Linked DNA regions of Callithrix jacchus. The protein of the gene in region 1 interacts with the protein of each later gene in a biochemical or structural test. Links are inferred from orthologs where the notes say so. Each region holds a gene or a part of one and is shown on either strand. Other genes may lie near its edges.

Region 1 (4,290 bases):
GAGACCCTGTCTCAAAATAACCACCACCACCAAAAATAAAAATAAACAACCCAGATACATCTAGAAAACAAGATCTACATACAATCTATCCACCTGAGTTCCCACCCCAGCTCCACGCCTTGCCAGCTGTGTGACCTTGAAACAATGGCCAAACCTCCCACCCCTTCAAATTCCTTAGTGAGTTGGGGGGTGGAACATGGCAATCACAGAGGTCTTTTACAACTCTCATCTTCTAGATAGGTAAATGTTCACCTGTATAACCATAAATAACCCAGCAAGTTAAACATCCACAGGGAAAGAGAACAAATTACAGAAACTCCCTTTCCTCAGCAATCTATCATCTCACCCTCATCACCCACAGACAACCACTCACTCTGGGGTCTGTGTCTCTCACTCTGGGCCATTCTAGCTCTGAATTATTTATGTACAGTTAAACCTCAAAAATCACACAATCAAGGGAAAGGTAGATGTGAGTCCAACAGAAGCCTGAGTTCTAGAATGCTTCTTTCATGCCATTGTGCAATACTTGGAATTTAATATCAGTTTAGCAAACAAGAAACTAAAAATGCCATCACAAACTGTGACTCTAAGAACAGTAGAGTTGTCAGGAACCCTGGAAGACCCTCTGCTCTAACATCCTCCACTTCATCAGCAAGGATACAGGCCCAGAGAGCAGAAGCCACTAGCCCAAAGCCCAAAGATTAGTGGCCAGGACCAAAGCCAGCTGACCTGCCTCTGGTCCAGAGCTCTCTTCCACCAAAGCTTTTGGAAACCATCCCTGCCTTTCTCCTACAGACAGGTCAAATCCTACCATGGAGTGCCCTCTACAGCAAATCTATCTCCACATCCAGGGAGGGGTCTGGAGATAAGTCTGGATGATCTGAAGATTATCAATGCTGCACAATAAAAGCTTTCTTTCCTGGGCCCTGCCCTTTCATTCTTTGCAAAGAAAACCCTAGACTCTGCTATCTGTATTGAACTCTATTTTAGAGAAGGGGAAAGAGGGGAACAGCTGAACAGTGCTTTGTTCTGCCAGGAAGAAGCATTTGCTCATCCTTTCCCATAACTCCTACCCACTCCCCAATATGCCCGATCCCTTCTGAAAAGTTTACAGAAACTCTCCAGCTACAACAAATGAAAGCAGGTAGGAATGGGTGTCGTCCACAAGATAATACCCTCCCATCTCTTTACCCCAGAGGGTAGACAGGACTTCATTTCAGTTGCTATTTCTCTGCAGGGAAGTCGCCAAAGGAGTGGTCTCAGGGCCCTCCAGCTGAGAAACGTGCTCTGAAACCCCTTGAGAACTAACCCTTTCCTAACAATCTGCTCCAATGGTGCCTAGGGCAAAGGTACCAACAGACCAATCCTTCCCTCTTTTCCCCTCAGGCCAAGAAGACATCAGAGCTTGGTTGGCGAGGGGCTATTTAAAGCAGCATCTAGAGGGCAGGGCAGAGAACTGCTGGAGGCATCCTCTTCCTCCACCCCTCCCCATCACAGCCCCAAAAATATGCCCCTCACTCAGAAGACAGCCATCTACCTTATCTGTGTCTGAAAGCTGAAGATATGTCCATCATGTTTTCTATCATTGATGCTGCTGACCCCGCTGCTGCCCACCCCATTTTTAATCCAACCCTCCTCTCTTCGATCACACCAAGCTACCTTTTCAACCAAAAACACAGAATTGAATCTAAGCAGAGGAGCTCAAAACACAAGGAGAGTGAAGACAGCCAATCCGTCCACAGCCTCCCCTTAAGAGAGGAAAAAGGGCGCGGGGGGCGGGGGGCTGTTGAGGGGAGAGATGGAGTCAGAGGCCTGACATGCCAGATAGGTTCCATGATGTCTCTAGATGAACCTCTCTCCTATTGACGGTGAAACCAATTCCAGCAATTTCAGCAGGTCGGCCCTGTGACAACAGGGGCATCCAGCGCTCAGTATTTAAAACAAAAATCCAAAGGCTCGCCCAGAACCTGCTGGGAAAACCCGGGGACTGAATAAAACGAGCCACGCTCAGTGGGATCCCTTCTGCTTTTATGTAGCAATGTAATAGCGTAATAAATTCTTGTCTGCCTGGAGAAAGCATGCACTGGTGAATTTCAAAGCCATCTTACAACAGCGGAGGCATGGGGATGCAGAATTCGACCGCACATTCCCCCCCATGAAGGAAACATAATGACTTCAAGCCTCTTTCCCTCTATCTTGAATGGCGCTACCGCGTATCTAGGAAGCCACGTCGAAAAGCAGCGAGGTGAGAGCGGGGGATGCCCGGGGAATTCGGAGAAAGGAGTTGCTTGCTGTCCATGTCGGTGACGAGCTGCCTAGCAAGATGCTGTCAGCCACTCGGGGAGAGGAAGGGGCACGGGCGGCACGGGCAGGCGCGGTGTCCCCGGCGCACACTCGTCCCGGTTCATTCAGGCGGGTCCGGCCAGCCGAGGCGTCCTCGCGCCCCTCCCGCCACCCTCTCCCAGGGATGCTGATGAATGAACACACCTGAGATGCCTCCATCCTGCCGCTCGCTCCCTCCGCCTTCCTCTGGCTGCTGCAGAGGTGCCCCTCCTCGGTAGTTTCACTTTACAGCACAAACCCATCCGGGGTTTGATGTCTCTTCCACCCACCCACATTGCAGCCACCCTGAGACGGGAGGACATTCTCTCCTAGCAGAGGCCATGATCGCACTACCCTCCACCCACCAAAATAAGAAAAAAAAAAAACACCCAACCCTGGAAGCCCTCATATCCTCCGCACCCTGGGGAACTCTCCTTGAAAGACTGGGGATCCGCCGAGCAGGCAGGATGCACGGTTCGGACGCGGGCGACCACCGCTTTCCCCGTGCCCATCGGGGGATGCTCTGGGGGAGGGGGGGTCCCCCAGGTCCCTCCAACAGCTGGCCCTTTAAATGCGCCTCCTCCGGGCGCGGAACAAAGGCGCCGCCCGCGGGGGCCTGGCCGCGCACACCCCCGGCGTTGCCGCCGCCGAGCGGGCGAGCGCGGACGGGCGGGCGCTGGCTTACCTTGCTGGTCGCCGGGCGGGCGGGCTGCGCGCGTCCGCCCCTCTCGCACTACACGCTGCAAGCTGGCCCCGCTCTGTTTTTCTGGGACTCGGAGCTGACTTCACCAACACTCCGCGGACCGCCAATGGGCTGCGGCGCCCGCCCCCTCATTAGCATGCCTCTGGAACCGTCCACTCTGGCAGCTCCCGGCCAGCGGGCGGTGCCAGGGGGCGGTGCCGGGCCCAGCCGTGACAGGAAGGGGCGTGTGCGTGGATGGGAGGCAAGGAAGCGTCCGGCGCCCGGCCCGAGTCTCCCGGCTTTGTGAGCCCGCCGGTAACGCGCGCGCGGGCCAAGTATCACTTTCCGTCCTGGCCAGGCCGCGGACTGGGCCGGACGCTGGCCTGACGCACCTTCTGGTCCTTCAAGAGGGGTCGCCCACGGAGAGCTTGGAAGAACCCTTAAATGTAAAATGACAGCGATAAGTTACTTAACCCCTGGACCTCAGTTTACCCATCAGTAAAATGGCATAATAGTACCGATTTCGTAAAATCTAGTGAAGATTAACATAGTTAACATACGTGATGCGTTTAGATCAGTGCCTGGCTGTCGTGCTACAATAAACGTTTGCTGTTATCATCAGTGTGCTCTGTACCAGCCAATGTGCTTAATGCTTCCTGGATATTTCCTCATTTGATCCTCTCAGCCTGGTAAGAGAGGAACGATTACTAATCCATATTTTTCAAGTGGGAAAACTGAAAATAATTACTATTTTTTAAGCGAGAAAACTGAGATGTAGTTTAAGTGGCTTGTCCGAGGTCATACAGCAAGTGGGGCAATCAGGATTTGAACCCAGGCTCTGAGGTTTCACTCATGCAACACACATATTTTTAGAGGCTCTGTGGCAGTGCCGGACCCTGGTGTTAACTGCAGAGAACAAGACAGGCAAGGCCTCTTCCTTCAGGAAGCTTCCATTTTAATGGCAAACAAGTAAGTAAGATCCTCTGCAATGTGAAAAGTAGAGTGAATACAATGCAACAGGGTCATTGCAAGTGGAGGGAAGGCACCGTGTTGGATAGGGTTCAGAGCTAGCCACTGTGCTATACCATTCTCCTGAGCTCCTCTAGTCCCCCTCAGAGTTACAGAAAAGGAAACAGAGGCAGGGATCAGAGTGAGGAAACTGCTGGCCCAAGGTCGCGGAGCCAGCAAGTACTGGTCTGGAACTTGCTCCCTCCATGACTGTGTTCCCACATCCCTGAAGATAAGACAGTCGCCCCTTGGCCTGAGCACAACTGATGTTTGTCAGC
Region 2 (4,269 bases), on another chromosome or scaffold:
CCTCCGGAGGACGCCCCCAGCGCCGCATCCCCGGCTTCCACCCCTGTGCTCCCTGTTCTCGAGGCCTTTAATCTGACCTCGGAGCCCTCGGACTACGCTCTGGACCTCAGCACTTTCCTCCAGCAACATCCGGCCGCCTTCTAACTGTGACTCCGCACTTCCAAAAAAGAATCCGAAAAACCACAAAGAAACACCAGGCGTACCTGGTCCGAAAGAGCGTATCCCAAACTGGGACTTAGAGGCAATTCGAACTCAGAACACTACAGCGGAGACTCCTGCAGGTGCTTGAGGCGGGCCAAGGCGCACAGAGACCGAGGCACGGCCACGCTGGGGCTAGGCCCGGTGGGAAGGAGAGCGTCGTTAATTTATTTCTTATTGCTCCTAATTAATATTTATATGTATTTATGTACATCCTCCTAGGTGATGGAGGGGTGCACGTAATATTTATTTTAACTTATGCAAGGGTGTGAGATGTTCCCCCTACTGTAAACGCAAGTCTCTTGGTATTTATTGAACTTTGTGGGACTGGTGGAGGCAGGACACCTGGAACTGCGGCAGAGTAGAAGAAATGGGGAGGACTCGGGTGGGGGAGGACGTCCCGGCTGGGGTCAAGTCTGGTGGTGGGTCGTAGGTTTAGGAGGTGACATTGCGTCCTCCAGCCTCTCAACTCCGTCTGTCTACTGTGAGACTTTGGCGGACCGTTGGGCAGGAGATCCGTGGCCTTCGATCTCCTCGAAGTCGCCCTTAAAGGGCGGCTGCGGGGTAGAAGGTTGGGGGTTGGTGGGCTGTCACGGGGCGACTGTCGAAATCGCCGAGTATGTTCTGTGAACAAATAAACTTGATTTACTGTCTGCAGTCTTAAGTGTGTCTTTGCAAGCGCCGACTCCCCACTCCTCCCCGTCTTCAGATGCCGAGGACCGGCGGGAGGCGCAGTGGCCAAGTCCCCAGCCAGCGAGCCCCTTTAACTGGAGTCAGAGAACCCAGCATCCGGTTGCCGGATGCAGTCGTTCATTGCCTAGTTTGCGGTTTTCCCAGGTAGTTGCCCCGCGGCGAATCCGAAATGTGGCAATCACCCTTACGCCGGGGTGCCGGGTCCGCCGAGGTCAAGTCCCGCGCCTGGGGCGGAGCTTGGAACAGCCTGGGCGGTTCTCCTCTCAGGAAGGGCGGTGGTTTGGGCGGCAGGGCCTTGGCCCTCCCCGGGCTAACCAGGCCCCGGGCTGCGGACCCGAGCGGGGCCTGCCGGGAAAGGGGCGGGACGAGCGCGCGGGCCGAGGCGTGGCGAGGTGGGGGTGTTTAGTCCGCTGCGGGGGGCGGGGTCGCGTCTGCCGCAGCAACAGGGTGCGGCAGGGTGGGGAACGCGGGAGCAGGCCCAGCTCCCAGGAAGGCTGGTCGGCGAGCGGCCCCTGCTCGGCTTCCAGGTCCCTGCGCGTCCCCGCCCTTCCCTAGACCCCAGCCCGGCCGCCACCCGCGTCCGGGAAGGTGAGTCGGGGAGGGGAGCCTGGGGCTGCGGAGAAGCAGGGAGGGAGGGGAAAGGGCTGCAGGTCTCTGGGCGCGGGGGACCTTTATCAAAGGGGAAACCGTCGGCTCCGAGGCGGGAGAGCGGCTAGGGGAAGGGAGGAACCGTAAACAGGCGGGGAACAGGTCGCTTGGGATCTTAAGGATTTCGCAGGGGAAAGCCTTAGCAGACCCATGGATGCAGAAGGGACGGGCTGTGGCGGATGCAGACTGGGAGGGCCTGATGGGGAAGGTAAAGGATGGACCCCTGTGGACGCCACAGCCCCGCTTCCCCATTCGCAAAGGCTTTCCCTCCCTCCTCCAGCTCCAGCCTAAACAATGTTTTTCACCTGTGGCCCAAATGAGGCCATGGTGGTCTCCGGTAAGTACTTTTCCCTTCCCAGCCAGTGGCTCCAGAACCTCTGTGAGTCTGGCTTCTGCCCCTTCTCCCTTCCTACCAGCTTCCCAGCGCCAGACTTATGCCCCCGAACTGCCCAGTTTCATCCCCACCATTTCAAGGCCCAAACTGCTTCCCCTCCAGCTCCCAGATACTCTCCTGTGGGTTGCTTTCCCCTCACCCCCGCCAGATCCTCAGTCTTCCACATTCAAGCTCTGCCACAGTTGCTCACTGCTCCTCACCTTGCAGGGTTCTGCCGAAGCCCCCCTGTCATGGTGGCTGGAGGACGTGTCTTTGTCCTGCCCTGCATCCAGCAGATCCAGAGGTAGGCAAGATGGGAACTAAGGAAGGGGAACCTCCGTTTTCTCTTTTTCCTCCTTTTCTTACTGTCTGCCCCTTCTTTTTCCCTTAGGATCTCTCTCAACACACTGACCCTCAATGTCAAGAGTGAAAAGGTTTACACTCGCCATGGGGTCCCCATCTCAGTCACTGGCATTGCCCAGGTGAGGCTCTCAGAGCCTTTTCCCCAAAGTCCATTTCCCCATTACCCTCTTTCCCAGACATTAAGACATGTTCCGGCCACAACCTTTGCAATCCTTGCCTGCAGAGAAATTTCTCTGCTAGTCTCATCTTCTCCAGGCACCCACAAGGCACTTGGCTCCTCCTCCTTTCTTTCCCTGAAATGGAAGAAGCATTTCTTAGCGGGCTCCCCCTTCTCTCTCTGCTTCTTCTCTGACTTAATGAGATCCCCACCACACCTTTCCTGTCCCTATTCTGGCTGCAGGTAAAAATCCAGGGGCAGAACAAGGAGATGTTGGCAGCCGCCTGTCAGATGTTCCTGGGAAAGACTGAGGCTGAGATTGCCCACATTGCCCTGGAGACGTTAGAGGGCCACCAGAGAGCCATCATGGCCCACATGACTGTGGAGGTTGGCCTGGGGGCAGGGAACGATCTGGAAGGATGCCAAAATGAGGGGGGCCCAAGGACCACACTAGCCTGTGAGAGACAGTGGATCCAAGAGCTTCCATCCCAGCCGGGCAGGGTGGTTCCCAGCACTTTGGGAGGGCAGGGTGGGTGGATCACTTGAGATCAGGAGTTCGAGACTAGCCTGGCCAACCTGATGAAACCCCGTCTCTACTAAAAGTACAAAAATTAGCCAGGCATGGTGGTAGTCATCTGTAATCCTAGATACTTGGAAGGCTGAGGCAGGATAATCATTTGAACCCAGCAGGTAGAGGGTGCAGTAAGCCAAAAACGAAAGAGCTTACATCCCCTCTCCCCACCATCCTGTTATTACAGGAGATCTATAAGGACAGACAGAAATTCTCAGAGCAGGTTTTCAAAGTGGCCTCCTCAGACCTGGTCAACATGGGCATCAGCGTGGTTAGCTACACTCTGAAGGACATTCACGATGACCAGGTAAAACTAGGTGATTGATCCTTCCCCATTTCCTTGCTCCCATCTCTTAAGCCCTCCGAAGGGTTAATTTCTACATGTCTCCTACAGGACTATTTGCACTCTTTGGGGAAGGCTCGAACAGCTCAAGTTCAAAAAGATGCACGGATTGGAGAAGCAGAGGCCAAGAGAGATGCTGGGATCCGGGTGAGAGAGATGGGGGTTGCTTGGTGGGAAAGGGGATAGAAGTGGCACAACTGAGTAGGAGCAGGAGTGCTGGGTGAGCAGGGAAAATACATGAGGCAGACCAAGAACGCTGGTGGGAAGTGGCTCTCACCATGGCCTTTCCTCTCCCTCCCCTGACATTTCCTACCTGATCTCTGCTTCCACAGGAAGCTAAAGCCAAGCAGGAAAAGGTGTCTGCTCAGTACCTGAGTGAGATCGAGATGGCCAAGGCACAGAGAGATTACGAGCTGAAGAAGGCCGCCTGTGACATCGAGGTCAACACCCGACGAGCACAGGCTGATCTGGCCTATCAACTTCAGGTCAGAGCCACCGCACTGGGCAGACGGCCGGCCCACTCTCTGCCCCTTCCCCATTCCTCTCAGGCTGTCCATCTCAGGACACCACTATTTCTCATACTCTTTGATCTTATTCTGAGTCTCCATCTCTGGCTCAACTCCCCCATTTGAGGAAAGATTTAAAAGACTCAGATGTTACAGCTGAAAAGCTTTAAAGAAAAGGCCAGCCAGGTGTGGTGACTCATGCCTGTAATCCCAGCACTTTGGGAGGCCCAGGCAGTCTGATCACTTGACCTCAGGAGTTAAAGGCCAGCCTGGGCAACATGGTGAAACCCTGTCTCTACAAAAAATACAAACATTAGCCAGGTGTGGCAGCTTGGCCCTATAGTCCCAGCTACTTGAGGGGATGAGGCGGGAGAATTGCTTGAGCCCAGGATGTGGAGGTTGCAGTGAGTTAAGATC

What was found.
Region 2: the proteins of SORBS1 (region 1) and FLOT1 form a complex in vitro, tested with the Homo sapiens proteins (2 studies listed by BioGRID). The link is inferred for Callithrix jacchus from reciprocal best matches to the Homo sapiens genes SORBS1 and FLOT1.

The regions. Positions count from the first base shown.
Region 1 is NC_133513.1:88,432,705-88,436,994, forward strand, and holds the start of SORBS1 (sorbin and SH3 domain-containing protein 1), read right to left. Parts: upstream 3,062-4,290; 5' UTR 3,008-3,061; intron 1-3,007. UniProt on the Homo sapiens protein: Plays a role in tyrosine phosphorylation of CBL by linking CBL to the insulin receptor. Required for insulin-stimulated glucose transport. Involved in formation of actin stress fibers and focal adhesions.
Region 2 is NC_133505.1:35,533,543-35,537,811, reverse strand, and holds the start of FLOT1 (flotillin-1), read left to right. Parts: upstream 1-1,295; 5' UTR 1,296-1,479; intron 1,480-1,819; 5' UTR 1,820-1,833; coding exon 1,834-1,876; intron 1,877-2,140; coding exon 2,141-2,216; intron 2,217-2,303; coding exon 2,304-2,394; intron 2,395-2,675; coding exon 2,676-2,819; intron 2,820-3,190; coding exon 3,191-3,310; intron 3,311-3,397; coding exon 3,398-3,493; intron 3,494-3,678; coding exon 3,679-3,831; intron 3,832-4,269. Other genes in the region: IER3 (radiation-inducible immediate-early gene IEX-1), read left to right, coding at 1-144. UniProt on the Homo sapiens protein: May act as a scaffolding protein within caveolar membranes, functionally participating in formation of caveolae or caveolae-like vesicles.